Linked DNA regions of Astyanax mexicanus. The protein of the gene in region 1 purifies or fractionates together with the protein of each later gene. This does not show direct contact. Links are inferred from orthologs where the notes say so. Each region holds a gene or a part of one and is shown in the gene's direction. Other genes may lie near its edges.

Region 1 (7,997 bases):
TTTTTAAATACTGATCAATAGTATTTTCTTGTTAGTACTGTTCACATTTCAGCAAAATACATTAAACTACATCCCTTTTTTGATCTCAATGCTCTGCTTTAGGTTGGCGACTTGGTGATGGTGACCAAGATCAACGTAAATGGGCAGTGGGAGGGAGAGTGCAAGGGAAAACGGGGCCATTTTCCCTTCACGCACGTCCGCTTACTGGATCAGCACAACGCAGACGATGACCCAAGCTGAGAGCGGAGACAGACTTCCCTGTACAGCCCTTAGACGCGCACACACACACTCTCCTCACATCTCCTCATAACTGACATGCCCAGCAGTAGCCTCTTCTACTAGATCCTTTTCCTGTCTATCCGCTCATTGTTTTCGTGCCATCATGTCGTTCATGCCAATATATACACTATCTGCAGTAATTTCCTTATTAGACCTTATGCAACCATTTGAAGTTACTTAAGTAGACACTAAACACTACGGACATCTCTATAGGTTATCCTAAGCGGAACTTTGGAGTGTGGCCTAAATATTGTGAGTTTGAGAGAGAAGAGATATCTGCTTGGACTCTAAATGTAAGCAGTGGGGTGTTGCTGTAAGGGACTGTTCCTCTGCATTTGAGTAGCATACACTACTCATACTGATTTGCTAAAAGATGACTGCTACAAAGGGGATTAGTTTGAGCCCTTTATCACACTACAAATCATCTGCCATGTGATTCCATAAAAGGTGTCTGAAGAAATACTGATCATGCTCATATTAATGTTTACTATTACATGCTTAATTTGTATTCCTTTAACCGTTTGTTTTTGTGCACACAGTAATGCTTCAATTGACTTTTGTTAGTTAAAGAAGTGTCCCCTTCATTTCCTGTTGGTCATTACAGAGAAGCTATTCTGGGCAATGAAGACTTTTTTTTTAATTTGGAAGACACCAATCAGTTTTTATAAAAGCACACATAATGATATATTTCCACTTGTGTGCCTGCAAAAAGAAGTCTTTCATTGGGTTTAATGTATAAAAACATTGTGCTTACAAACCTCTCTACAACATCCACCTAAAATGCTATCATGTGCAGATGCTTCAAGAACAACTCACTTTACTACTTTGATATACACTGTAAGATTTGATCACTACATGTAAAGTGTTAACTCAATGCCTCAAACACCTCCCTATCTAAAACTCTTGCACATAACAGTAGCCTTCATCTACAATTGTTTTATGTGTCTGTGCTCCAGCTGAATTAGTGTTTTTCTTTTTAAATAATGTTTGTGATCATGCATCACTGCTTCATAGTGGGATTTTCTCCTAGGAGGTGATATAACACAGTTCCATTAACCAGCAGTTTGCCTTTATTGCAGTTCAAAAACTGAATTAGATAATGTCTAATCTAGTCTGACAACCAGATTGGGAAGTTAAAAATACTGTACTAGAAGGACTTGTAAGCAAGATTTGTGATTTGAAACATTTGTAGTTCATATTTAAACATTAAGTTGTGGGTATGGGAAAATGTATGAATCTGAATTAGGTCGTGTTCACATTACAAAGCTGAAGTGACTCAAAATCAGATTTTTTGCCTGTATGTGCCAGATCAGATTTGAGTGTTTTTGTTTTTTTCCCCCTCTTCTTCCTTCCTATTGTTTCTCTATATGTGGTACTTACTGGATATATATCCGGTATGTTGGAACGTGAAAAATGGAACATTCAGATCAGATTCATATCTGTAGTGTGTACACTTCATCAGTCAGCACTGCTGTTAGTTGAATTCTGTCTCCCAACCGGAATCTGAAAACGTGCGTAAATATATCTTTGTGCACATGCTTGTTGGTTCAGGGACAAATTCATTCACATTACAAATAACTACAGATCATTTACATTTATGAATGTGAAGCATCGAGACGGCCAAAACCGATTTGAGCAAAATCAGAACTGATTATTGAGGCATGTAATGTGAATGTTGCTTTGACGAACAAACCCATAACACTAATGGAACTACCATCAGAAAATAGTTAAGACTACACTGATCATGTTTGCAGTTTTTTGAATGGCTATGTTTTACGTTCTGTCACTTGAACAAGGACAATCACCTGAAAGAATTAAGCTTCTATCATGCGGGAAATATGAAGGTTGGGTATGAAGTAATAATAACTAGTCAGGACAAGCAGCCAGATTGTCACTCAAGTCCTGTTATTAACGGGCTACTTGTCCATTGAGCTATGAAACAAACAAAAAAATAAGTATTTCCAATTTCCAAACGTTTAAAAGGCCAAATAAAATGAATATGAACATTGTTAAATATAACACTACAGCTTCAACATCATTCCAAAGTGTTCTGTTCTCTATCGCAAGGTAAAAAGGATAAAGTCTTACTAATGCACATCATAAGTGCCACTTTAAGCTGTGTCTAGATTGACTGACTGAGAAATGTAACTTTGCCCATGTTTTTATTTTTATTATTTGTACTTAAAGTATTATGTTTACTGTCTAATCCTACAGTCCATTAGTGAGAGTAATATTATATATTTTTTGTGATGTTCATTTTTGTTCACATAATGCCCTTCACAGAACAGCTTCAATATGGGTCAACAATTTTTTTTTTCTTTTGGATCAGCCTGTTCCTGTACATGAAATGAAGTTAACTCCTATAGTAAACCACTTTAACCCCTTTAAATGCTGAGTTTGTCTGTGATTTTTAAAGGCATGCCAGAATAATCACTTTTATCTGAACCATGTAACATCTCCAAAATTAGAATTCATATAAAGAAATATCTGTAACATATATGTATGGTCATGAACTGTTCATACAATGCAATGGATCGCTTTTTGGCCAATATCAAAACCCATAATTGCAATAAATTATATTAGTAATTTTAAGACTGTAGGAATTGTGATAATTTAATAGCATAATAATACAAATACACCCTTTAAAAGAGCAGTTATTTTCTTAAGGTGTCAGATTATTTAGTGCATGTAAACACTCATTAGCTACTGAAATGTTTTCTACTAAATCATTATACAGCTTAATGGATCTATGGCTAAAAACAAAACACAGAAAATGAGTTTTGCTACAGAGAAACCTGTCTCGTTATCTGATGAACATTGGGTGGAAAGATAATGCTAGACAGAATGAGCTATTGTAAGGGGGCTTTTTGTTCATTTTGTGAGCTGTCTGGTTTAGGTTAAAGTAGTGACAAGCTTTGTCTTTGTAATGACGCATGTTTTAAATGCAAATCTGGTGTTCTCTTTCAGCAATTAAAAGAAAGAGAGGTAAGACGAGGACTGTTTAGCTGTTCCACAAATAAATGCTCTAAATGAATCTTTTAGAATAAAACATCATTAATTTTACTCAAACATATACCTAAATAGTGAAATCAGAGAAACTGATTCAGAAACTGAAGTGGTCTCTTATTTTTTTCAGAGCTGTATATGTATATACAGGTCCTTCTCAAAAAAATAGCATATTGTGATAAAGTTCATTATTTTCTGTAATGTACTGATAAACATTAGACTTTCATATATTTTAGATTCATTACACACAACTGAAGTAGTTCAAGCCTTTTATTGTTTTAATATTGATGATTTTGGCAAAAAAAAGTAAAGAAAATAAATTAGCATATTTCATCCAACCAATAAAAGAAAAGTGTTCTTAATACAAAAAAGTCAAGCTTCAAATAATTATGTTCAGTTATGCACTCAATACTTGGTCGGGAATCCTTTTGCAGAATTTACTGCTTCAATGCGGTGTGGCATGGAGGCAATCAGCCTGTGGGACTGCTGAGGTGTTATGGAGGCCCAGGATGCTTCGATAGCGGCCTTAAGCTCATCCAGAGTGTTGGGTCTTGCGTCTCTCAACTTTCTCTTCACAATATCCCACAGATTCTCTATGGGGTTCAGGTCAGGAGAGTTGGCAGGCCAATTGAACACAGTAATACCATGGTCAGTAAACCATTTACCAGTGGTTTTGGCACTGTGAGCAGGTGCCAGGTCGTGCTGAAAAATGAAATCATCTCTATAAAGCTTTTCAGCAGATGGAAGCATGAAGTGCTCCAAAATCTCCTGATAGCTAGCTGCATTGACCCTGTGGACCAACACCAGCAGCTGAGATGGCACCCCAGACCATCACTTACTGTGGGTACTTGACACTGGACTTCAGGCATTTTGGCATTTCCTTCTCCCCAGTCTTCCTCCAGACTCTGGCACCTTGATTTCCGGATGACATGCAAAAAATGAGCAACAGTCCTAGTGCTGCTTCTCTGCAGCCCAGGTCAGGAGCTTCTGCCGCAGTTTCTGGTTCAAAAGTGGCTTGACCTGGTGAATGCGGCACCTGTAGCCCATTTCCTGCACACGCCTGTGCACGGTGGCTCTGGATGTTTCTACTCCAGACTCAGTCCACCGCTTCCGCAAGTCCCCCAAGGTCTGGAATCGGCCCTTCTCCACAATCTTCCTCAGGGTCCGGTCACCTCTTCTCGTTGTGCAGCGTTTTCTGCCACACTTTTTCCTTCCCACAGATTTCCCACTGAGGTGCCTTGATACAGCACTCTGGGAACAGCCTTGCTTGCTTGAGGGTGTCAATGATGGCCTTCTGGACAGCAGTCAGGTCGTCAGTCTTACCCATGATTGCTGTTTTGAGTAATGAACCAGGCTGGGAGTTTTTAAAAGCCTCAGGAATCTTTTGCAGGTGTTTAGAGTTAATTCGTTGATTCAGATGATTAGGTTAATAGCTTATTTAGAGAAGCTTTTCATGATATGCTAATTTTGTGAGATAGGAATTTTGGATTTTCATGAGCTGTATGCCAAAATCATCAGTATTAAAACAATAAAAGACCTGAAATATTTCAGTTGGTGTGCAACAAATCTAAAATATATGAAAGTTTAATTTGTATCATTTCATTATGGAAAAGAATGAACTTTATCACAATATGCAATTTTTTTGAGAAGGACCTCTATAGTATGTGAAATTAAATTGCATTAAGAGAGAGCTGCATGTTGCAGTATGTGTCTGTAAACTTTAGGACAGGTAGGGAGGGAGTAAGTGCTCTAAGCAGGGCTGCTCCCTCCAGCCCTCTGTTGTACAGGGCTGAAGTTCCCGGATGAGCCTCTCTCGCCATTTTTGCCCCAGTGGCGCCGGCGGACAGCGGGGCTTCAACACGGTTCAGGCTGCAGCTGCTTCTCCTACGAGGGCCTGCCGCTTTTACACACACTCCTTTACCGAGAATCCGTCGCTGAATAGGCTCGTGTCACACTTTCCAACATGGCTAACCGGGAGGACTTAGTATACCAAGCCAAGCTCGCCGAGCAGGCGGAGAGATACGACGGTAAGCGGTGTTTTGTGGTGAAAGCTGACTGGGCTAATGCTAATGCTAACGTTTACCGTTAATACTGCGGGCTAGCGGGTCTGTCTGTGTTTCTTCGGGGCCAGGTTTAGGATTAAAACGGGGAGCTGGGGGTGAGAGAGGTGGATAGATAACTGAACTGCCTTCCGATAGAGGTGCTTTAACTTGGCGTTAATTGTATATAGACCCAGTGAGGCTAATTCGACCGTTATTATTCGCTGAGGGACGGTGTGAAGATGGAGACGGTACTGGAACCGACAAAATGGCGGACAGTTATTGGGTGAGGCAGGCTGTTGCTAGCCGAGGCAGGGAGCAGTGGAGACCTCTACACCCCGGTTGACCCCGATAGCTTTAATTATAGGTTACGGGTAGCTTGACCACACGAACCTGCAGGTGTGTGCGTGTGATGGAATGACTGCCTGGCCGCTGTAAAACATCGCAGGTTAAGCTAAGCTAGCCTATGTAACCTAGCTTACCGTAGCTAGCTTGTAGCGCTAGTTACGCTGCAGCAATGCTGGTGCAGACCGGCTAGCTAGCGTTAAATAGCTTTCATAAAGCCTGCTGACTTGGGTGGCTATAAAGACAAGTGATTAATGGTGCTAATTTAGCTAGTTAAGCACCAGAGGGTGACCTAAACTGACCCAAAATGGGAATTGAACACTGTAGGTTTAGTCTGTAGCTAGCTAACCTAATGTGCCTGCTGTAGTAGGCTAGCAGTCATTGTGTAAACCCTCCTCCTGTGAACCATGTGAATGCCGTGTTCAGCAAAAGCTAGGTTAGTTTAGCTAACCAGTTAAATAACTAGGATTATACTCACTTCCCCAGTACAACAGTTGTTGTTGCCATGAAAATAGACATTAAAGATTACTTAACATCCTATATAAAGAGTCAACAATGTACTCGAGTGTATAGCTAGTCGTTTTTTAGCAAGTCATAACTCAGTTTTTTCCTTAGTAATATTTTAAATTTAAGTTTTAAAAGCTTTACAGATTTATAAAGACACAATGACTTGGCATTATTACAAGGACAGCCTATCCTTAATGTGTTTTGACTAGTCATATGGGAATTCACTATCTTATAACTTTAAGCTCTGGAACAGATTGAGGCCACTTTAGTTCTCAATCAGTTTCTTTGATTTTGCTATTTATATGTCTATGTTTGGGTAAAATGAACATTGTTGTTTTGTTCTATAAACTACGCATCACATTTCTCCCAAATTCCAAATAAAAATAGTCATTTAGAGCATTTATTTGCAGAAAATGAGAAATGGCTGAAATATCAAAAAAGATGGAGAAGAAAACAAGGTCATATTGGTTTGATGACTTGTGGTTATTAATCTTCCTCTTGATTATATTCCAGAGATTTTTTAATTTGGTAAGATCAAAGAAACTCATTTTTAAGTGGTCTCTTAATTTTGTTGCTGTATACTCCTTTACCTGTAGGTAACTACACTGTTATTCTTGCTAGTTAAAATGTATAGTATTACATGCCTAGGATTTATTACTAATCAAAACTATATTAGGAATATTTGTCCTTGTCAATTTAATTATGGATATGTGGCCCAGGACTTATAACAAGTAAAAATTACACTGTGGATATTCAGATATCTTCAATTTCCACTAGTATTTTTTTTTTTTTACACAGAGAAATATTTAGTGCTAATCAGTGGCAATATAGCTATGACTAATCAAAATTATACTAAGAATAAGTAATCTTGTCAATATGTGTAGTTAGTATGGATTTATAGATCTATAACTCTGATATCAACTTTCAAAGCTTACCCCTGAAATTATATTTAGAGTGTATACTAATAAAAGCTCTAGTACATGGATCAGTAATTTGAGTGAGTTTTTACTTTGACTTGTTTGCTGAAGTCATATTAAACCAAACAGCTTCTACATCATATGTATTAAATGATGGTGAGAATCTGCATTCACTAATTGTAGAAAGTAGAAAACGTGTCTGTACCTCAGTGCTTGGCATAAGCTCTCTGTGTATAAATGTGTTTGAGTGAGAAACTGCTAATTATTTGCTTTTGGATTTTGCAGAGATGGTTGACTCCATGAAGAAAGTGGCTGGCATGGACGTTGAACTCACAGTTGAAGAAAGAAATCTGCTATCAGTGGCGTACAAGAATGTTATTGGTGCACGAAGAGCATCCTGGAGGATAATTAGCAGTATTGAGCAGAAAGAAGAAAATAAGGGTGGCGAAGACAAACTGAAAATGATCCGGGAGTACAGGCAAACGGTAAGGCGTATGCTCCGCCTGACCCATATCTGATAGTTTTATATTGACAGTATGACTGGTTCTACATCTCAGTCTCCCATGTGTCTTGTTCAGGTTGAGACTGAGCTGAAATCAATCTGCAATGACATCCTTGATGTTTTGGATAAGCACCTAATTCCAGCTGCTAATTCAGGAGAGTCCAAGGTCTTCTACTACAAAATGTATGTAGTCTGCTGTTTCTCATATGGGGGTGTTACTGAATTAAATAAAAACTCTTTAGATTTTATGGTCTCAAAAAAAAATACATGAAAATGCACATTTAATTTTAATGTTAATGAGTAATGTTTTTCAGTGCCACCAGATTGTATCTTTAAGAGTTTTTAGTTGTATTTGATGTGAAATGTTTGACTACTCAAAATGAAAGTAAAGAATGACCACAA
Region 2 (7,415 bases), on another chromosome or scaffold:
TAATGGTAATACTGTATAGTGCTGAAGAAAAGTTTACTAAAACTCAGCAGATTAAGTGATTCCAATTTAAAACTACAATAAGGTATTTTATATTTCTTTACATTTTACTCTTGCATTTAGCACTAGAATGGCATATTTACATGTTTGTTTTTTATGCATTTTTTCAGTTTTTCTTCCTGGAAAGTAAAAGAGGCATACCTATTTATTGTATGTACCTTAAGAAACAACAATTTAATTGTATTGTGCTTTCCTAGACAATACATATATATATATATATATATATATATATATATATATATATATATATGTGTGTGTGTGTGTGTGTGTGTGTGTGTGTGTGTGTGTGTGTGTGTGTGTGTGTGTAAATATGCAAAATTACAAGAGAGCTATTACTTACTAGTCTTCTTGGTTCATGCTTTATTACCTAAATCATGTAACCTACCTTGAGAGCACATTTCCTTTTTGAAGGAGAAAGAGACGGAACTTGTGATTCTCGGGGCTGTTTCTGAAGCAAAGAACGCAGCTGATTGGCTGAAAAATAAAAGCAGAGAACTTAACTGACAACTGATAACTGACAACTGACAACTATATATATATATATATATATATATATATATAATTTCAGAATGTTGCCCTCTGTTTCTCTGCATACGTGATTTTTCTCGTTTCACCCTGTTGTTTAACACTGACATGGTGGTGGTGTGTTAATATATGTTATGCTGGTAGGAGTAGATCAGACACAGCTGTGCTGCTGGAGTTTTTAAACACACAAATGTCCAATCTATTATACAGTCCTACCCTGCTGCTCCAGCGTGTAAATGTAAAGTCAGAGACAGAAGCTCATCACTGAAATAGAAGAACTACAACCTGTAATTGTAGCTCTACAAAATGTCCTATATGCTCAGTAAAGCTGAAAAGATGGGTGTAAATAATGTGTCTGAAATAAATAAATGCTTGATTATGGTATATTCTGATATACATACATTTTATCATATTTCGCATTAACTGTCTATGGATCGGAGGCATACCTGCTTCACTCTGCTGCACATGCTGCTGTGAGCTGTCCTGCATGCTGTTATCACTGCTTCCCTGTTCCAAGGCCTCGGATTCAGAGCTCTGGTTTGCCAGCATGCTGCTCAGCTGCTGAATACTGCGGTTGGCTTGCTCTGGGGCAATATATAAAATACAGATTAAACTGCTGAAGTGTCTCACACTCAAGATTACAAGAAACAAAGCAACAACAGAGTTTTGTACTGCAACCCTTTACACTGTTTCGAACATCTGAGTCTGTGTAAAGCTACAAAGCATATCGGCTACTCTTTTTATTATGCTATGAAAATGTCAGGGGAGCATGCATAATTGATATGCCAGTGGTGATTTGGGGTTTAAAGAGTTTTAGCTGACTCCACCCTACACAGCTTAAATAATAATAAAAACAATATAAATTTTGGGACTATTTAATGACAAAAATGAATAAAGAAAAAAAAACAAGTGTATTTGGTGTAAAATCAGGCATTGTAGAGAAACGTATCAGGTAAGAATAACACAGTGTCAATTGTTGGTTATCATACTATGTACCTTTGTTTTTAGTAAAAAACAAACAATTTTACAAATAAAACCACAGTAGCAGTTTTTAAAAAAATATTTCAAGTTTCAAATCTTTTTTCAACTTTGTTTCTTACTGCATGATTCTTTATGTGTTCATCATAGTCTGGATGACTTTAGTATTTATTCACAGTGTAGTAAAAATAAGACCACTGAATGAGAAGGCGTATACAAACTTCTAACCGGTACTGCATATATTTATGTATTTTTATATATACAATATTTTGTAAGAAAAGACAGCATTCAGATAAAATTAAGATTCATTTAAAATTTCGGTTTAACTCAAAGAACATATGTATATTCACTGGGCATTTGAGGCAGCATATGAAATGCCTTTATTTAAAAACTACTTTATTTAACAACTATTTTAAGTTATATTAAACCACAACACTAGATTTGACCTAATAATTCGCTACTTTTCTGCAAAGCTAGGTTAGTTAGTTTAGCAGTCGAACATGCAAATAATTAAAAACGGTCTAAAACGTCTACCGCACGGGATTTTAAGGGCATGTTTATTTTCTGTTCAACGCAACGTAACGTTAATTTTAGTTAATTAACGTTAAGCAGCATCACCTCTCAGTTTCTTCTGATAAGCTCCCAGTTCCTCCTCCTCGTCCGAGTCCAGCGACGGCTTCATTTTAGCCTGGATTAACTGAAGCTCGTCAGAACATGTGTGCCTAATCACCTGCTACAAACTCTAATCAGTCCCGTCTAAAAAATCTATAATATTATTAAAATAACCCAACGCTCTGCAGAACTACAACCTGTGACTGAGTCCCTAACCGTCAACACTCGAATCACAGGTCAAACTTCCGTCAACGTCCCCGCAAAGGTTGCTGGGAACTGTAGTCCCACGGTGACCTCCTCCCTGATACTGAGAACGGGGATAACGAGGGTAAAAACTACACATTGGAAGATGCTAATATTTTAATGAACGATGAAGACAAAAAACGCAATCATATTTTCGCGTAAATCATTGTCTAAAATCACAAACATGTATGTATTACAATAAAATCGCCGTATCTATATTTAAAATACAGTTTTTAAAACATGGTACGCGTCTTTGTGCGCGATGACAACATCGCTGAGGCCACGCCCACTGGACTGTGTTGGAACTGCAGACGCTGGCGCTGCTGTAATATCAGAGAGCCTGTAGCGAGGAGAAGACCCACTCGAGAATGTATTCCCCCAGTTTGTCACTTTTAAATTCAGATACTAGAGGGCGCTGTATATGTATTTGTTTTGATTATGTGCATAAATTATATGGTTTTATATGGAGCAATTGGGCAAAATCATAGTTTATCATGTCAAGTCAAGTCAACAGGCTTTAATTGTCATCACACCTGAGTACACAGTGTATTGAATTTATGTTACTCTGGAACCATGGTGCAAAATGGAACAACAAAACAATAGACAACATAAAGTGCAAAAGTGTAACATAAAACTATAACACTACAATAAATGCAATAAAAACAACAGACAAGACAAGACAACAGACAGTTTACCAGACAGGACAGTGCAGTACCAATACTAAGAATAATATGCTGAGATATGTAACATACTGTAACATATAGAACATACATGATCACAGCAGTAACTGAGATAGAGAGTTTCTAGTTTTTGTGAAATGAAGCAGCAAATATTGCTAATAGGGATATAGACATTTCGGTGTGTGTGTGTGTTTGTGCGTGAAGAGAGGTGGGGGGGTTCAGTTTAGTTCTGTGTTAAGGCCAATTTATACTTTTGAGTCGAACCTACGGTGTAGCCTATGCGTCACCCCATACCCTACGCCGTAGCCTAAGCTTCACTGTGTGCCCTACGGCGTTGCCTACGCCATAGCTCGATTCGCATCTCTCTGCAAATGTAACTACGCGTCGTGTGACGAGGACATCTCGCATCTCCTCCCACACATTCCTGCCTTCGTGGTTTAACTAAGGGCTAAGGACTAAGGGCAGAGCAACACAGAGTTGCTGATATGTGCACGCAGAAGTATAAGCGCACTCCGCATAGCACACTCTCCCTGGATACACGTAGGCTATGGCGTAGTTTTCACGCAGAAGTATAAATTGGGCTTGAGTGTGTTGGATGTGTGATGAGCGGGTTTAGCTCCGTCTCTGTGTGTTGAGAGGTCTGACTGCCTGGTGGATGAAGCTGTTGCACAGTCTGTTAGCGGAGGCACGGATGCTCCGGTATCTTCGAAGAGTCCACATGAGGGATGTGTGTGTTCGTCCACAATGCTGGTGGCTTTGTGAATGCAGCGTGTGGTGTAGATGTCGGTGATAGAGGGCAGAGAGACTGGTCTTCTAAGCTCTCCTCACTATTGGCTGTAGGGTCTTGCGATCAAAGATGTTAAATTTATAAATATTTTATTATTTTTATCCTGACAAATGTAGTTATTTTCTTTAATATGGAAAAATATTAAATGTTTCAGTGCCACAGAAATCATTTTAAAGCGTATAAGCCTTTTAAATGTGCTATTTAGCATTGTTTAGCAGTAACGCTAGCATCTTTACTGCCTAAAAACTGTTTGATGTAGAAAATTGGAAACATACAGATACTTTTTCTAGTTTTTGCAGAGAAAAAAAAATCTTCAGGGAATTAAAGGAAAATCCGGATAAGTATTTCGTTTCTATTGTTAATTTGAGTTTTAAGCCGTTTAGCTCCATTCTCCTTCATTTATTAAAGACTCACTCACGCGCTCCCTCTAGAGGTTAGCAGTCGTTGACTGAAATAACGGAGAGAATAGAAAGTGGGCGGGCTCTTAATAACCCGGCTCTGGCTATGATGTCCTGCCTGCCTGATTCCAGCCTGCCGTAGGTCGCCGCTATTTGTTAGGAATAACGTTATTGCTGAGCAACTGAGACGTAGGAGCACATACTGGGCAGGGCACTGAAAACCGTTGGGCTGCTTCTGAATTGGATCTTTGCACAAAAAGGGGAACAGAAAGGGGTGAGTAACAGTAATATGTCAATCAATATTATATTGCTAGTTATATTTTTCGGAATGATGGATGGATGTTTAATGGTGCATCGGCAGCAAGGGCAACGTTAACGCTAGCTTATTGTTGGCGTGTCTAAAAAACGTTTTTCTTGCCTTTCCTATAACCTAGGTTAGCAACGCTAACGTTACTGACTCGAGGCCGTATCGGATGTTCTTCATAGAGCAATATGTGATGAATTCAGTTCTATTTTAGATTAATGGTGTAAAATTCGCTGCAGAGACGCGTTTCGGCCGGCAGAACTTCAAGCAGCATCACAACGTGTGCAATCAGCATGCCAGATCTGTGTTTTTCAGAGCTGTGGCAGCATCATGGCTCAGAGATCCTGATTTGATTGTGGGTAACGTTATTCGTGGGTTTTGAATATGTGCAAAACGTTTCAAACATCTGGAATATGTTTGTAATAATGAAAAACACGCGTTTACGTATGTGTAGTGGATTTCAGTAATTTATTTAACTATGGATTGCTAGCTAAATTATAAGATCAGTCTTTCAGTATCATTCAGGCATCCATCAATCCTACCCAGCTGGCATTTCAACGTTGAATCAACATTTATGTTATGGTTGAATCAGCGTTGGATTTGGTGTTGATTTTGAAAAGTGAACTATCGTTGATATGGCAACGTTGTTTCAACGTTGTACGTTTAACCTTTAATAAACCATAGCACACTTAAACTAGAAAATACTTTGGTTAAGAGTGTTAATAAACACAGTAAAACAAACTGAACATTAATATACCCCCAGATATGGTGAAGAATTGGTGCCAAATTTTTAAGAATTTCCTGCAAATGGAAGTAAAACTACTTTGTCCTCCCTCTATCCAACCGTTTTTTAATTGTATGGTGATGAAATGTAAAATGTTCATTCAAAAGGCAGAAGGTTAAGGACATTATGTTGATTCAACGTAAAAAATGTTAACGTTTGCACAACCATTTAGCATTAAATGTTGTTTCAACGTTGAAACAACAACAGACATTACTTCAATCATATTTCAACCACATTTTAATGTTAAAGGTCGGTTGTGTGTCAGCTGGGTAGGTTTAATGTGGTTAATGCGAATTCTCATTTAATGGTAACAGGGCGTTAAGAAGTATAGCTACCTAACCTAGATATCGTATTTTTAAAATGTGTATTATATTATTAGCTGCTCATGCCCTACAGAGATGTCCTAAGAATACCAGTGTTAAAGGACACAATTTAAAGCATTGGTCGAGTTCCCTTTGTGTTCTCTCTCTCTCTCTCTCTCTCTCTCTCTCTCTCTCTCTCTCTCTCTCTCTCTCTCTGTCTGTCTGTCTTTTTGCCTGGCTACATCTGGCCTGAATATTTCCATTCAGCCTCAGTGAACCCGCTGGATAGCTTCCGCTCTTTACACAACATCGCTCCCTTAGTTATTAATATGTTACTAAACGGTAACCTAACTAGTGTTAATACACTGTAGTACACTGTAGGTTACACGCAGCTATAACCGGCGATAACAAAGCAAACCCCGGTTCGACTTTGCTGATCATGTCCACAGGGCTACAGCTAGGTTAGCTGAGTGCTGCTGGATAAAGGGGGGATCCCGGTGGGACTCGTGCTGTATACATTTATTTATTTCAGTTCCTTTCTCTCAGTTCTACCTATTTTGAGTTAGACTAGACAGGCTGTAGCTACGCTCACATTAATTTCTCCATATATATTTAACTAGCTAAGCTAAGAGTATTGGTAAAAAATAAACATAATACGAACAATATAGGTACAGTAAGAAACATCGGAAAACTGGAACATATAAACCTGATAACAGTTAGCTACAGGACGTCAACGTTTAACACGTCTAACAAAGCAAAGCAATGGGGGACAGACTACCTTCTCCTTTCCCTCCTACTGCTCAAACTGGAATATTTGGACAGGAGCCATGCTTTCTCCCATGGCCAGATGCTCTCCTCTCTCAAACTGAAACTGTGCTTTACTGGGCCGCAGCATTGGGCTATTAGATGACACTATGAGGGTCCTTGTAATTTAGATTAGCAACAAGTTTTAGATTTTTTAAATGTTGTGCTTGTAAAATGTGGCCTATTTATCTTTGCTTCAAGGCAGACCTGGTACTACAGGCCCTCTGTTTTGAGTGTGCCTCTGAAAAATGAGTTTAGGCCTTTGTCTTCTATGATAGTCAAAATGGCTAGATTAAACTTAAATTACATTACTCTAACAATAATAGGAGCTGCTGGTGGATTCTGCTTAGAATTATTAGTGTTTATGAAAGAGGTTTTAGTGAACCCCAAACACCAAAATACATCCACAGAAATGAAATATTATGATTAGTTTAAAGCTAACACTAGTTAATCAGTAATCAGTAAACCTGAAGCTGTCAGATGCTACAAAATACAATGTAATCAAAATCAAAATGTAATCATTGTAATGTTTGAATTACACTGATTAGCAGAAATAAATATGGTTCCATTAACTGAAAATAATTTTGTCAGTGTTATAGTTAAGTCCAATTTGGAAAATATAGCCTACTTTCAAACAGCATTTTGCAGTAAACTGTCTCTCTGTGTTAATTAGTGTAAATAAGGTTTAATTAATGGGCTTAATATCACTGAGTAGCAGAAAAAAATATTGTTCCATTAACTGAAAATAATTGTTACAATGTAATAATTAAAGTCCTATGCAGTTTAAATGTACAGCATGTGTGTAACTAAGCCTAACTTATACATTCTACAGGATTCTGATGTTCATAGTTCATAGTGTCAAAAATATCAGTGAAACCTATTATTATACACAAAATTGTAAGATCCTGGTCGTCAATGCTAGTTAATGAGCTAGCCTACCA
Region 3 (7,810 bases), on another chromosome or scaffold:
GCAGCAACTGAAACTCATGCTTTTCCAAAATAGTGATTTCTTGGCATGGGCTATGCTATGCCCCTATTGCTAGCATTGTAAGCCTGTTTGGAGCATAGGTGGCCTATTCAAAAAGTCCATTTCCCACTGGATTTCTCCTTTAAGAAATGGAAGTTCAGGGGAATTGTGGAGGTCGAGATGAGATCTGAAAGAATTAAGAAAACTCTCAGCAAGAACTGCTCATATGCTGACAAGACTGGCAAATCAACGCCCGTATGGCTACCCAGGATCAGCTTAAACATTCAGTGAAAATTGTCAGAAAGTGTGGTACTGATCATCTTAAGAGGCTGAATTACTTTTTAGAGTGATGTGGACTCTATATGTGGACAAAATACATTTTGAGATAAAATAAGAACTTCATTTTATGAAAAGAACACCTTACCAACGGTGTCCATATAGTGTGGATTCACTTCTATGCCTCAAACATACCAGCACCTCTACTCAATTATGGTTTCTTCTGAAATCAAGGGTATTAAAACAGGTTTTTCCTGCTTTTGTTGGAGTAACTGTCTCTAATATCCAGAGAAGGCTTTCTACTGGAGTTTGAAGCATTGCTGTGAGGATTTGACTGCATTCAAAAACAGGGTTTATGAACCCTCGTTAGTGGGGTCAAGTTATTGATCAGCAGCCCAGCTCATCCCATAAGTATGGGATGAAACACAGTCCTTCCAGAACACTGCTCCATAGTTCAGTTTAGTACTTCTGTAGCCCAGGCCTGGCAGAGAGTCGTATTCTATTGTCAGTACCTCTGTTCAGGAACTAAACATGATGTGTGTCTGCCTTAGCTTAACCCATTCCCCCGTTCTAGTGCACTACTAACATCAGCATAGGCTGTGTGTCAAAGGCAAAAACCTCTCTGAGGCAGCAGCTTGTGGCTTTCAGTTCAGGCCTACCTCACATGCTTCACATTTTCAGTCCAGATGCCAGTTAATTCTCTTGTGACTTGAGTAAATGACTATAAATGTCTAATAAACTTGTTGTCTACCTTAACACTGAGCGTATCCCCATCGTTTGTTGATTCTTTTTATTATCCTGACAGACCCTCTGATGGACACTCTCATGACTGACCCTGTGATATTGCCTTCTGGAAACATAATGGACCGAGCCATCATCCTGCGCCATCTCCTCAACTCGCCCACCGACCCCTTCAACAGACAGCCTCTCACTGAAAGCATGCTGGAGTCAGGTACAAACCACCGTTTTACTCATCAGATAAACGTCTGAATTTAACCTTATAGCATGTCTGTTAACACACCTCTGTTGTTAATAATAATAATAATATTAATAGTATTAATAATAATAATAACAATAACAATAATAATAATAATAATAATTAATGTGTTTCTCTTTAGTTCCAGAGCTGAAGGAGCGTATTCATGCGTGGATGAGGGAGAAGCAAGGACGCTTTTCTCAGTGAGCCACACTTGCAGCCAGTTTAGGATGGTTTCAATATGGAATTTGACTTGGAACAGATTGAAGGGAAGAAAGCAAAGAAGAAAAAAAAAACTGTCATGAAACCTAATTTGAGTTTTTTCCCTTTATCATTTTTTTTGTTTTATTTTGTTTTTTTTTCCTGGGCCGTCAAGGTAAAGGCTGTTGGTTCTAAATTGAAACATAATAATAAAGTTTAGACTTTTAAAAGGTTTTGCTTATGACTTTGTGTATATTACATAAATGCAGATATATTTAACTGAATTGTTTCATACCAAGGTTTTGAAAGATTAGGTTTTCAACCTGGAAAAATCAGGTGAGAAATACAGATACAGGCAAAATATTCTACAAATTGTAATTATTCTGCTGTCTGATGTTCTGAAGCTATTGTGTTTGGCATTCAATATTCCAATTTAGGGAGACCTTTCATTTAGAAAGAAGCGCAGGAAACATTTTCCTGAATTTTTCTTTAATTATGTTGCGAATCTACATAAAATTAAATTAAAGTGGATAAAACATGTTACTATTAAGGATTGGCCATAAATTTCATGTTACGTTTATGAAAATGTCTATCTATACATTGTTCTGAAGGTGGAGAAACTGTTTAAAAAGAGCATACTAGATCATCTTTTAGTACATCTAAATAACTGTGTTGATTTGCTGAAGAAAAAAATGTCAGTGCATCATCAAATGATGACTGAATCTGTACTGAAAATGTTTTTTTTTTCCACTGTTGTTTACTTTAAATGATCATATGTGAATGGCCTACAGCAGTTATTAATAACTGTGGTTCTGGAGGCCCACTGCAATGTACATTTAGTGCTTTTCCTGCTTTAACATGTACCCACTTACACCCAATAATGGCTTAATAAAGCTGATTTATGAAATGAGGAGTGTTGGGAGCAGGGAAGAACTAAACAGTACAGGGCAATGGGCCTCCATGACCAGGGCTGAGAAGCACCAGCCTACAGCACAAGGCCACCCAAACACCACCTTTAACTTTATTTTATTTTTATTCTCGTATTGTTAAATCTAAAAAAGCTGAGCTCAGCCGAAAGTAAGTAAAGCAGCTTCGATAGCATGATCGTCATGAGAAAAGTGCCACTGAACCAAATGTATTTTCTTTAACGTACACGGTTTTATATGCTGAGAAAGTTCATCAATCCAGCTGTTTGTATTAATCTTTGGTTGTTGGAGCTCACGCTGAATTATGAATGTCATTTTCCTGAGACATAAACATTTAACTTGACAGGAATTAGCTTCCTTTGCTATGAACATTTTTTGAACCCAGGACAAACTGTAATAAATGGTAATGCACTCGCACAAATAGCTGTTGTAATTGCATTTGTATGTAGCTAGTTCATAGTTCAAATAAGCTTTTAATAATTTTAATTGTGAATTTGACACAGAAAAGATACAAAGGTATAGCCAGTTATTAAAATGTACTGCTGTAATGAAGTGCAACCTAGTGCACAATGGCTTCTCATTGTGTTTACTTAGATAAGATGCTCTGATAGTAGTCCCACCTCAGGGAAATTTTCAGTTACAGCAGCAAAAAGCAAAGGAAACAAGATAGAAGAATCAATGAATCAATCATTTAATCAATCAGTCAGTCAAGGGTTATTTACACTTAGAATACATTTGAGGATGTTCCTTGTGTACAATGCCGCCAGACATCGAACTGAAGAAATTAGTATATAGAAAATAAATATTAGATTCAAAAGTACAGCAGGACATAAAATCAAGACCATACATTGAATAAATATAATAATAAAATAAACACAGGGTCACAGACCCTTTAAGAGATGTAGAAATTTCCTTACAGCACTTTGTCTGTCATTTTAACTCATAAACTTCTTAAGGACAGTGTGTGAATGTGAGCTTAATTATCTGATCTTCTTAATTTACAGAATGCAGGTGTGCTGAGTTAGTGCTGGAGATAAACGCAGCTCCTTTTGAAACTGTACTTTTAGCTTCTACAGGTCTGTTCCAACCGTTTAAACCATTAAAACGCTTTAAATAAATATTGTGTGTTCCATATAATTGGTTCAACAAATAATACAGGTATTTTAAAACCTTGTAATATACAGTCTTGTGCCCACAATAAGAAATAAACTAAATTTTGTATCAATATTCAGATTGGGTCTGGGCTCTTATGGATTTAATTTTAATAAAATCAGTGAAAAGTGTAAGAAAAAATGTGAAAAAAATGACGCAGGTATTAAAATAATCCAGTTATAATTTATATAATATAATATAATATAATTGATAGTTGGGTATAAATTAGGTGATTGAAATGGTTTTGGGTGATCGCTGTAATAAATTTCAGTTAGACGCAAATATTCCTAGTTCATTAAAAGCTGTCAGCTTCTATAAAAAGACAATAAATAGATAAATAAGCAAACAAGCATTATAAAATAATGTAGGTTGGAGTGCAGTCCTGGTAACCTAGTGCTGGAGAAAAAAAACTAGCTCATTTTAAAAGTTTAGATTTTAGATTTATTTTTTGGTCTGTTTCAGCCATTTAACCATTAAAACGCTTTAATAAAATGTTTTAGATTCTATAAAACTGGTTCTGACAAATTCGAGAACAAAGCGTTAAAATGCAGATCATAAAAAATTGTTGTAATTTGTGTTACATCAGGATTTTAACCTTAACATATTTACAGTCATGTTGTCACAATAAGAAGCAAACATAAATGAGCTGATCACTGACATTCCCCAGTTCATTAAAAGCTGTAGGCGTCTATAAAAAGACAATAAATAGATAAACTTGGAGTGCAGAAAGAGGGAACAACAGAGCCAGTATAAAAAGAACATGTATAAACAGTTCATTAAAATATGTCAGCATCTATAAAAGAAGACAATACATAGATAAATAAGCAAACAAGCATTATAAAAGACAAAATGCACATGGGAAGTATGAAAAGCTGTATAAATATGGAATGTTGCACCAATAAGAACATTGCACCAAAGCAGTAATATAATCTTAGACCCTGTGATTTGATTGCAGATGCATCCTTTTTGCAGCAGACACTCATTTCAGCTGCTAGGCGGCGTCCTTCCCGTGTTATTTGCTCTGCTGTAGTATTTATTTCTCTATTCCTGCTCTCCAGCATTTCCATGCCATGGCACAGCCTGCCTGCAGGAGCACGGAGCCATCCTGCAGTAAGTATCGCGTCACACGCGGCCCGCCCACTCTCCACGCTTCCTTGACACTGATTGGCTAAGCCGTACGTCACTCAAAGGATTCTGTCACGCTATTGGTCCCTGCAGCTCTGGGTGAAGGCGGTGACGGGGCGGTTGACGTAATGGTTTCAGTAAATCAAGGCATTCAGCCGTGTGTTAGCTAGAGCTGGAGCAGCGGCAGCGGGAGGAGCGGCACCAGAAAACAGAGCTGAAATCGACGCTGTGGGAGAAATGCTGCTATAATGGGTGTATATAGCATATGTGGAGTTTTTAAACATTTTTCTGCCGGCCTGCTCTGATCGTTGCTTCACGTATAAAGACGTTTTAGGCTGCATTTTCCCGTACTTGGCTTTGGATTTCCAGAGGACTTGAGGAGGTGAGTAACGTTAGATAGCCTACCTAACCTAACGCTAGCTAAAACTGGATAACTGCGTTACAACAGCTGTTTTAGCGTTATTTTAAATCGTTAACATATCTATATTGTTGTTTTGTGGTTTATTGGCATGCTGCAGTGTAACTGTAGCGGTTAGCTAACCTAGCTAGGTTAGCTATTTAACGGTAAACGGCTCGGACTGGAGGACACACGGTGTTCTGTCGGGTTGCGCTCTCCTGTCAAATCGTGCCTCTTTGGCTACTTAACCCTTTCAGACCCTGCACCCAGTACAATGGACATCATGTATTTTCTTCATTTTAAAACGTTTTGTTGCTCATAAAACTATTTGAGAGCTGTTGTTTATCAGAATAGGTAATGAACCAGCCAATAAACAAGTTTATAAAACATTAAAACTGTAACTTGGCCCTGCCCACTGCTCTGAAGAAAAAAAAAAACAGTAGTCATTTTTACTAATTTTGTGATTTAGATTTAGAGAGTTTTTTAATCATGTATTTAACTGTTTAAGACTGATTTATGAAATAAAAAGGTCAATATGAAATAGTGAAAATATTACACACAGGCTTCCAATGTAATGGAAATGAAAAAAAAAATATTTTTTTGGTTTTAGTTCATTCATTTACTGTATAGATTTTATAGTAGAATATTAGAGTCTTCTTTTCTGTGCGTTACAAACAGAAAACCGCTTTCTTACTTTTTTTCCAGCCAGAGCACTGAGATAATTCAGGCCTGAAATGGTTAAACACTACTGTAAAACAGTGTCTAGCTAGTTAAGTAGTATATTTAGTATATAAAGGGCAAACAACATTTTATATGGAAGATTAACTAGCGTAATTGACATATCTTAGTATTATTAGTTGATTTGAATTGCTATATCACCTGTTTAGCACTTAAGCAGATGAAAATAACAACAGTGAGCTTGTCATATTAAATGTTCTCACTCGAGGAGAGCAGACAACTATTAAAAATATTTAGAATTATGTGGCAGCGCATGCGCAGAACCGGGAGATACTACAAAACGATGGGTAGCACAACTCGACAGAACACCTTGATGCTAATGTTGACGAATGTCAACGAATCTTGGTTCGTTTTTTTGTTAAAGCAACTAACTAGCAGGGTGACATGTCTAAGAGGTATTAAAATGTAGCTATTTTTATCACCTTAATATTCATAATTCCTTTTTTATTAAATCGTAAATAGATGAATTATTTATTGTTAGAAAAATGGGTTAACTAGCTTGATGGGTTACATATTAGTTTTTTATTTCATAGTAACAACTATCCACAACTAACAACTAAGTATTCAAGAAGTAACATATAAAATAAAAAAATAATAAAAATAAGCTATGCCTATTTATCTATAATTACTAGCTGAAACAGACATACTGTTACATTACATTACATACTAATTCTTTCCTTATATTTTTAAGCAAATTCACAAATTGTCCCTTCTGTTATTGTATAGTTATCTAACTATTTTTGACAGAATTTCTAATTATTTCATTTTTTTGGATGCAATGTTAAGATGCCAAGGCAAATGATAGATTAGGCAAGTAGTGTTTATCCTTATTGCAGCCATTATAGCTAGATAATAAAATAGCTGTAATGGTTATTAGGCCAGTCCTTATTTTTTCTATAGGTGAAATAAATGGCACTTATAGCTATAGCTAAAGATGACAGTGGAAAGCTGCATCAGCTTTTTGTTTTAACTATTTATGTATTAGTTAGCTACCTTATTCTATAACGAAAGTGACTCAAGTCAGAAGATAATAACAGTAGAAGCTCAGGTTGTTGATATAGATTAGTTTAGCTAATCTAACGTTTGTTAATTCACATGGAAGTCACATTAAAATATGATGGGCTTTGCTCCCAATCTGTTTTCATCTATCTTTTTAGCTAACTAGCTAACCATATAGTTAATGTAGCCAAACATGATTTTGTTGGGTAGATTTAAGCAGGAAATTGTGTTTTTTTTTTACATGTTTAAAGGGTCAGTGACTGCCACAGTCCCTTTCTCTCCCTCTTTTGTGGTGAACAAATAAGATAGTTGGGTGGCTATGATACTGTTGTTGCAGGTCTGTGGCCCAGTCGGCTGATTATTTCATGGGCGTATGCCGGTGGAAAAGCTGGCTGTGTTTGTTAGCTATTAGCCAACCTAGCTAACCTACAAGGGCAGGAGTGAAACCATCCTTATTTAAAGGTGTTTAAGGGTCATTAGCTGCCCGAATGACAGCACACAGTGTGACCATCATGTAGCAGAAATGATACAGAAAGAGCAGGAGGGACAATGGAGCTTGTTCAGTTTTTAGCTTACAGTTAAATAACGAGGGGCTAATGCATCGCTGTTTAATAACGCTGTGATTTGGGTTATTGAGATAACCTAACCTTCCTGTCTATATAGATAGTTAGTTAGCTAGTTAGATATAAGGTATCTATCCTCGTTAATGGTATATATACGATGTATAGGGTGTAATAATGAGGAGAGTGGTGTGATTAATAACAGTAATAATCTCTCCAGCTGAGCTGAGCTGGAGGAAAGTGGGCCCATCCCTGCTGCAGTTTACTGGCAGCCATGTTTGAGGCGGAGAGGAAAGCATCTAACGGTGAAGCTGTTAAAAGATATTCTGAACAAATACGAGATTATCTGCTATTCCTATTTTATGTTTCTGATAAATTACATTCTGTATGGTTATGCTCTGCGTTATGAAGCCATTTGTGTGCGTGTGCGTGTTTTGTATCTGTCATCCATCTGTCTTTTATA
Region 4 (6,988 bases), on another chromosome or scaffold:
CAGTTCTATAAATACATTGCTGTCATAATCTCACATGCACCTAATCAATATTTTAGAGATTAATCTAACATTGATTTTTTCTGATTGGTCAATTCATCTAAAGATTCGTAATTATTGATTTATTTAAAATGATATAAAGACAGCATGTAGTTTACTACACTTCTACTTATGCACTTCTTTTAAACAGTGCACACTGTGTGAGGTTTGGAATACAGTTTGTTTTCATTGGATGAGGCCATCTTTATCTTTTTGATGCACTGATTCACATTTAGCAAATTGATGCATTTCTGTAATCAGCGAATTGCCACAGCTCTACTACCCAATACTTAACATCACTTTCATGGGTCCTAAACTGATACTCAACCAAACTATATATTATAAATAATTCACAATAGTTTCTAAATAATAACAGAAAAATATTTAATAATATTGTAAACAATAAGATTACATTACATTACATTACATTTGGCAGACGCTTTTGTCCAAAGTGACTTACAATAGTGAAGTACAAAAGTAATAGAAGTTAAATGTAAAACATCTTTAGATAGGGCCTAAAGGAGGTCAAAGGGAATAACGGGATAGAGGAGTGAAGGAGGGGAAGAAGGAAATGAGGTTAGAAGTAGTTAGTGTGTTAGAGGTGTTAGAAGAGTAAGTGCTCTTTGAAGAGCTCTGTCTTCAGGAGTTTCTTAAAGATAGCAAGAGATTCTCCTGATCTGGTAGTAGAAGGTAGTTTGTTCCACCATTGGGGAACTCTGTATAAGAACAGTCTGGATTGCTTTGTGTGAATGTTTGGCAAAGCGAGGCGACGTTCATTTACATTACATAAGAATGGTCTACATGGTTAAACAATGTAAAGTAAAATAATATTCTTTAACAATTAAAACCTAAAAAAATATATTTGTATATTGAGTTTAAAATTGTTTACGTTTATGGTCAGGCTTAGGAAATTCATATGTAGTAAAACACATACCCCCAATATAAGGTAAACTCTATAACCTGACATTTTCTGTAAACAAACCTGTATGTGTGTTTGTTGGTGCTTCACAGCTTTGCAAAATGGCTCCGCACCTAAAACTGGCGGAGGTCAAGGCAAACAAACACACGTGATGGGAGAGCTCGGAATAGCTGCAGGCTTTGGCAAGAGAGCAGCATCTCTGGTTTTATTGGCCATGCCCTTCTACACTGACCACACGGCCCGTGTGAGTGGTGTGTGTGTGTGTGTGTGGATTACATATGCTTGTTTGTTTGTTTGCTTTCTACTCTCTCTTCTCCTCTTCTCACACGTGTGAACGAACTCCCCATTGCTACTGGGCAGAGCAGGTATACACACTCTCACGGGGCTGTGACCTGGAATCATGTCATTTAGTTTGTTTATTTTTCATTAGTCCTGCTTTACACCCCTCCCCTCCCCAAACCCTCTGTCTCTGTCCTCCCTCAGGGTGTAGACTTACTCCTCCACCATCTGTCCTGCAGAAAGAGGCTGGGGACAGCAACACAACACTGTGTGTTTGGGTGCAACAACAGTGTGTGTGTATGTATGTGTGTGTGTGTGTGTGGGTACAGTGTATTTGTGCAGGTGGGAATTAGCACACTCATTGAAGTTTGTAGGAGTGCCTCTCTTGCCACTCTTGCCTCTGACCTGGTGTGTTACCTCCCTTTGACCCCCACCCCATTGGTTCCCAGTGGGACCCTGAGACTGATAGGCATCAGCAGATGCTCTTCTGTTCATGATGGCACCAGTGAACCTGATCTGATGGTGACACATGGTGGTGGTGAAGTCTCAGAATCATTTATGAGGAACAGTGTAAAAATGGGTTGTCTGTTCAAATAAAAAACTTTGGTGTTTCATGTGATTCTTCAAGAAACGTCATAGTATAACCTATTGCTGAGGAACCATGTTTGTCGTAGTGTGTGTTTGTTTGAGTGTGAAGAATCTTTTATAGGTCTACTTAACCTTCTACTGATACCAAAAAAGTAGCAACTAATTGTGAAAAAATAGTTACTAACTGTAATCAATGTAAATCAGTAAATAAATAAGTTAGAAGGATAAAGGTAGATATGTAAAATAATCCATCACTTTTAAAGTAGTATTTCATTACTGTTATATAAACCATTTAATTAGCATGTTTTAATGCCAAACATTTTGTCTACTAAAACAATATGATTAAAAGATAAAAATTACTAGTACATGTATTTACATACATAGATGTTGTTCTGTTGCTTATAGAGCTTCTAGTTTAAAATGTTTTGCTGAATTTAGACACCTTTTCAAGATGTTCCTCACACATGGGCCTTATTCAACGATTGTTTTTTTTAGAAGGAATTTAGTCTTAACCCCACATATGTAGTTTTCTGACATTAAACTAATGTTTTTTACACAATTTATACAGGGGATTCGTTATTAGAAGATGTGAATGTTCTGATCTAATGCAAAAATCTACTGGATTTTAAGGGTATGAGGAATTCTATAAACATACAGTACTGTACATACATACATAATGTGAATTAAATTTCTTTAGATTGTTTGTTATCTTTGTTTATTTACCCCCGTGAAGTGCTGGTTATGGTTAGGGGCAGTTATAGATTCTATGAGCACAAATCCATACACTTGTAAAGGTAAGAATATTGCATAATTAGTGAAAGGTGAATATTTAATCTGTCTTCATCTTTGTTTTGTTCTGTGGAGCAGGCAACCTTCAGCTCCTTAGCTGTGAACTGTGAACAGCTACTCACACACACACACACACACACACACACACAGAATGAGATGACCCCAGGCAGTTCAAGTCATGGTAATGTATTTGCAATTTGATTCTAGAAAGCTCTCTCTGAACACAAAGTACTATGACTACTGTGAATAAATACTTTATGAGATCTGTTTCTAAAGCCTTTCTGGTCTACTCAGGAAGGAGGCTGTTGATTTTACTTTTTTTAGGCTGTTTCTAGAGAAAGGAAAATGTCACACCTGTGCATTCCCAGCACTTTCCTATGGCCAACAACAAATTCTCTTAGCAGAACAAATGCTCTTTGAGTATTCTTCAACACAGATGTTTCTAAACCAACACAGGCTTTGGCACAAATACTAAAGATTGCAGTGAAACTGCTAGATTCCTTTTTGCTGACTAAGTTGTATTAAAGAATGGTTCACCAATAAAAAATGTTTTTCACTTCAGTTATCCCCACACCCCAAAGTAAGTGTATCTGCCAGTGTTTTGTGTCTCAAGTTTGATTCTTGAGTTCTGCAGTGAAGACTAACACAATAGAGGTCGTTAGACCCTTTGCCATTCAAATCCTTGGACATTAACGACTTCATTTTCCTGGGAATGTTTCAGCTTTGCTTGACCTGTACAGGAATCAGCTTTTTTATTTCTGAAAAGTCATCAGGATTAAAAACGCTGTCCAATGATGCACCCAATGACCCATACTGTCAGCTTTAATTTATATGTCACTGTTTTGCCCTGTAATGTGTCAAACTCTATTCACATGTAGTTTCACAGGTAGTTTCCTTGATATTGTACTGGGTCTTCTTACCTAACCAAGACTTTTATTGGCCTTTACTTGTTTCATCTACTTTTTTTTAAGCTTATATGAGACACCACATGTGATGACATATCCTGATCATTGTTGGTGTGCTGGTCAAAATCTAAAACATACCCTGTGCTGGTCTGGTCAGGGTTGTTTTTTTCAGGAGGGTAATTAGCTACAGTAGCTCCTGTGGAAACTTAAATGAATACTTCTTTGTGAAAAGAGCAGAAGGGAAATTTTGTAACAACTATTTTTTTCCTAAACTTTTTTTACAGCCTCTCCTGGACAAAAAGCAGCGATTCATTAGGCTACAGTAAAACACACCCTCTAGTTTAGCTACATCAGTCTATTACTATTCAGCTATAGGGGCAATGAGCCTATCCCAACTGAGTCACGCCCTCTCTGCCCCGCTCCTCTGCAATGAGGTCCCGCTGCTGGCGCCATGGCTCCCCCCTCCTGCACTGCTACAGTTGGGAAGAATGGCATGACAAGCAGCCGTGGAGCATACCAAGATCTGCTGGACTGGGGGAGGCGATAGTGCACGCTCACTTTTTCTCATATCTTCAGTTCAAACAACACAGGCTGCTTCTTCAAAGGCGTCCTGCGTTAACGCGAGCTGAGGTCCTGTCCTGGTATTTTACTGCCACACTTTTACCACCCCCTGTTTCTGCTCAGTTGGGTCATTCCACCCAGCAATTCCACATGTTAGCGTGAGTTGTTAGCTCTCAGGAGCTGCTGCTGCAGTTTTCCACTCTCAGTCGATGCTGGACGGGACGTATAAACGGGATTAACGCTATTAACTGGGCTCGTTTTGGATTAAATTGTCTTGAACGGAATTGGCTGATCTTTTTTTCGTAAAGGTGAGTATATTTAATATTAGTTCACATCATCCCTTAGCCCTTATTATTCCCCTTTAGTACTAGTATAGAGGGTTGCTGCAGAATCTGAAGTAGAGGGGGTGAGGGGGTGAAGGGGGACTGCTGCTTCAAACAGTTCAGATCCCCACATGTCTGAACATTCAACGTGGCAGTATGGAGAAACTGGCACTCATCAGGCGCATATGACTGCAGAGGATAGCTGTAACTAGCTGTTTAGAGGGAGAAGAGAATTGTGGGCTCATCTCCTGTCCAGATGATCTCTTGTGTGCATATAGAATAAGTATACTTTTGACCATAAGAAGTGACACAGAGCAAAAAATGAAAAATGTAAATCTAAATAGAACAATATAAACAAGGAGATTTCTCCTCTCTCCAGTTGAAAGTTGGGTGTTTCATGCTGAATCCCTGATGGAACCAGTCCGCCTGCTTTTGGTAAGGTGAGACGCTGCGGTTCGCACAGCCGCGCACTTTGCTCCACTTTAACAGGACAAGAGTCTGGAGAAGATAGCGTAAGTTCATTAAATCTAGGAGGACAGCGGATAGGATACTGTCTCAGTCTCTCACTCCCTCTGTGACCGGTTATAACTGCTCATATGTCTGCTCAGTGTGGAAATTCCAACTTTTCCATGCAGCAGCAAAAACATCAAAGAGGCAAAGAAAACGTCCTGTGTGGACATCTTCTGTGGACATCCAGCTCTCATTGATACCAGTCTCTGAGAAAAGCAGAATATAATAGTCCTGGATACTGCTGAGCTATAGTACTGAGTAATGTTAACTAACTACACATATAAATAGTGTAACCCTGTAGAATTGAGTGATGATAATCTAGCCCATAAAAATGGTGTAAAAGATTTTAATTCAAGCTGGATAATATACTGGATATTCTGGAAAATATTACAGATAAATTCACGAAAAATCATGATAACCTTTATGATTTGTTAAAGTTATCTTAAAGCAATCTTGTATTGCATTAATGCACAAGGATTGGTAATGTAATCTAATTTGATCTGACAATGTTAACCTATTGCATTTGTTAATGATAAATGATGCCATATTGGATTTGTTAATGTTAACCAATATTACCCGGTAATGTTATAGAATTAATATCAACCTATAGGATTAGATAATATTAGCCTAAAGGTAATGTTAGGTAATGTTAACCTAAAGATAGTGGTTCTGTTATCCTAAAGGATTTGGTAATGTTAACCTAAATTATTTGATAATGTTGGTACTGTTAACCTCTAACATTTGGCAATGTTTATATATGATATTAGGTAAAGTTAATAAGAAGGATTAGTAAAGTTAACCAATTGGATTTGGTAATGTTAAGCTTTAGGAATCGGTCATATTAACCTATAAGATTTAACAATTGTAACCCATAGTTACTGGTACTATTAACCTAAAGAATTCTGTAATGTTAACATTAAGACTTTGGTAACATTAAACTATAGAATTAGGTCATATTAAGCTGTATGTTTTGGTAATTTTAACCTATAGGTTCTAGTTATGTCAACATGAAGAGTTTGTAATGTTAACCCATAGGTACTGGTAATGTTAATAGATAATAACTGGTAATAACATAGAGGTACAATAGTAAAATAATAGTATCCCACACAATTTGATAATGCTAACATTTAGAATTGGGTAATATTAGTGTGTAGGATTGGGTTATGTCTATCTGTTTCACTGGCTAATGTAAACCCACTAAGGAATGTTGATCAATTTCAATCAGATATTTTGAACCAGTTGGATCTAAATGGTAAATCTAAAGAACTGTTTTAATTTGTACTGCTAAATTAGACTATAAGTGAGGACAATGTACAGTATGTGCAGGTAGTGTCAATTTATCTAATGATGTACATTTCTTAAGTCCTGTTTCCCGATGTTCTGCTTTCCTCTTTAAAATTCTTTCTCTCTCTGGATGCTCTGGTTTTCTTGTTATCTCTCTCTCTCTCACTCTCTCTCTCTCTCTCTCTCTCTCTCTCTCTCTCTCTCTCTCTCTTTCTTTCTCCCCCCTCCTCTGTCCCTCTGTCCCTAACTCTGTCTGTGTCTGCTCCCCTGTTCCATACTCGGTTTCTGTGACCAAATGGCTCCAGGACTGAGGAATGTTCACTATTTCCTCTGTGTAATAGTAGTACACTGCAGCTCACCACCACTCTCAACAAGCTACAAGCTACAAGGTCTCATCCAATACTGTTGTTAAGATGCGTCTGACTGTATATCTTGGTTTCTACTGCACTATTTATATTATGGTATGTGGAATATATGTGTAAGAGTTAATAGATAATAAGAGAAATCAGATCATTTTGAAATTAAGTTAGTTTTGTACGAGGGCACTGAAATAAAGTGGCATGTTTACAGCAGAGCTCCTAATTGATTAGATGTAAACATTCAGATCCTCATCATGTCAACATCCTGGCTTTGGGATGGTGTGTGTTCTTGTTGTTTTTTCCACTAAAGCTGTGGCTTTGTCCTTTTTGAACTTTAAAGCCTGGATTAAACTTTCCACCTCGGATTGAAAGTGTGGTGTAAATATTCTGAATTTGATCTCGATGATAAGAATAATCTTCGACTGTTGGGGTTTG

The links.
Region 2: the proteins of ywhae1 (region 1) and cep170aa purify together in Homo sapiens (affinity purification with mass spectrometry; 3 studies listed by BioGRID and IntAct, with this or other methods). This does not show direct contact. The link is inferred for Astyanax mexicanus from reciprocal best matches to the Homo sapiens genes YWHAE and CEP170.
Region 3: the proteins of ywhae1 (region 1) and kif1b purify together in Homo sapiens (affinity purification with mass spectrometry; 3 studies listed by BioGRID and IntAct, with this or other methods). This does not show direct contact. The link is inferred for Astyanax mexicanus from reciprocal best matches to the Homo sapiens genes YWHAE and KIF1B.
Region 4: the proteins of ywhae1 (region 1) and frmd6 purify together in Homo sapiens (co-immunoprecipitation; 3 studies listed by BioGRID and IntAct, with this or other methods). This does not show direct contact. The link is inferred for Astyanax mexicanus from reciprocal best matches to the Homo sapiens genes YWHAE and FRMD6.

Annotation. Positions count from the first base shown.
Region 1 is NC_064425.1:15,960,796-15,968,792, reverse strand, and holds the start of ywhae1 (tyrosine 3-monooxygenase/tryptophan 5-monooxygenase activation protein, epsilon polypeptide 1), read left to right. Parts: upstream 1-4,997; 5' UTR 4,998-5,248; coding exon 5,249-5,312; intron 5,313-7,378; coding exon 7,379-7,578; intron 7,579-7,671; coding exon 7,672-7,778; intron 7,779-7,997. Other genes in the region: adapter molecule crk, read left to right, coding at 103-240. UniProt on the Homo sapiens protein: Adapter protein implicated in the regulation of a large spectrum of both general and specialized signaling pathways. Binds to a large number of partners, usually by recognition of a phosphoserine or phosphothreonine motif.
Region 2 is NC_064414.1:22,580,701-22,588,115, reverse strand, and holds the start of cep170aa (centrosomal protein of 170 kDa), read left to right. Parts: upstream 1-4,405; 5' UTR 4,406-4,554; intron 4,555-7,415. Other genes in the region: sdccag8 (serologically defined colon cancer antigen 8 homolog), read right to left, coding at 443-531, 1,029-1,166, 2,179-2,242.
Region 3 is NC_064420.1:40,775,583-40,783,392, forward strand, and holds the start of kif1b (kinesin-like protein KIF1B), read left to right. Parts: upstream 1-4,797; 5' UTR 4,798-5,035; intron 5,036-7,810. Other genes in the region: ube4b (ubiquitin conjugation factor E4 B), read left to right, coding at 1,079-1,225, 1,392-1,456. UniProt on the Homo sapiens protein: Has a plus-end-directed microtubule motor activity and functions as a motor for transport of vesicles and organelles along microtubules.
Region 4 is NC_064414.1:38,906,370-38,913,357, reverse strand, and holds the start of frmd6 (FERM domain-containing protein 6), read left to right. Parts: upstream 1-3,984; 5' UTR 3,985-4,385; intron 4,386-6,988.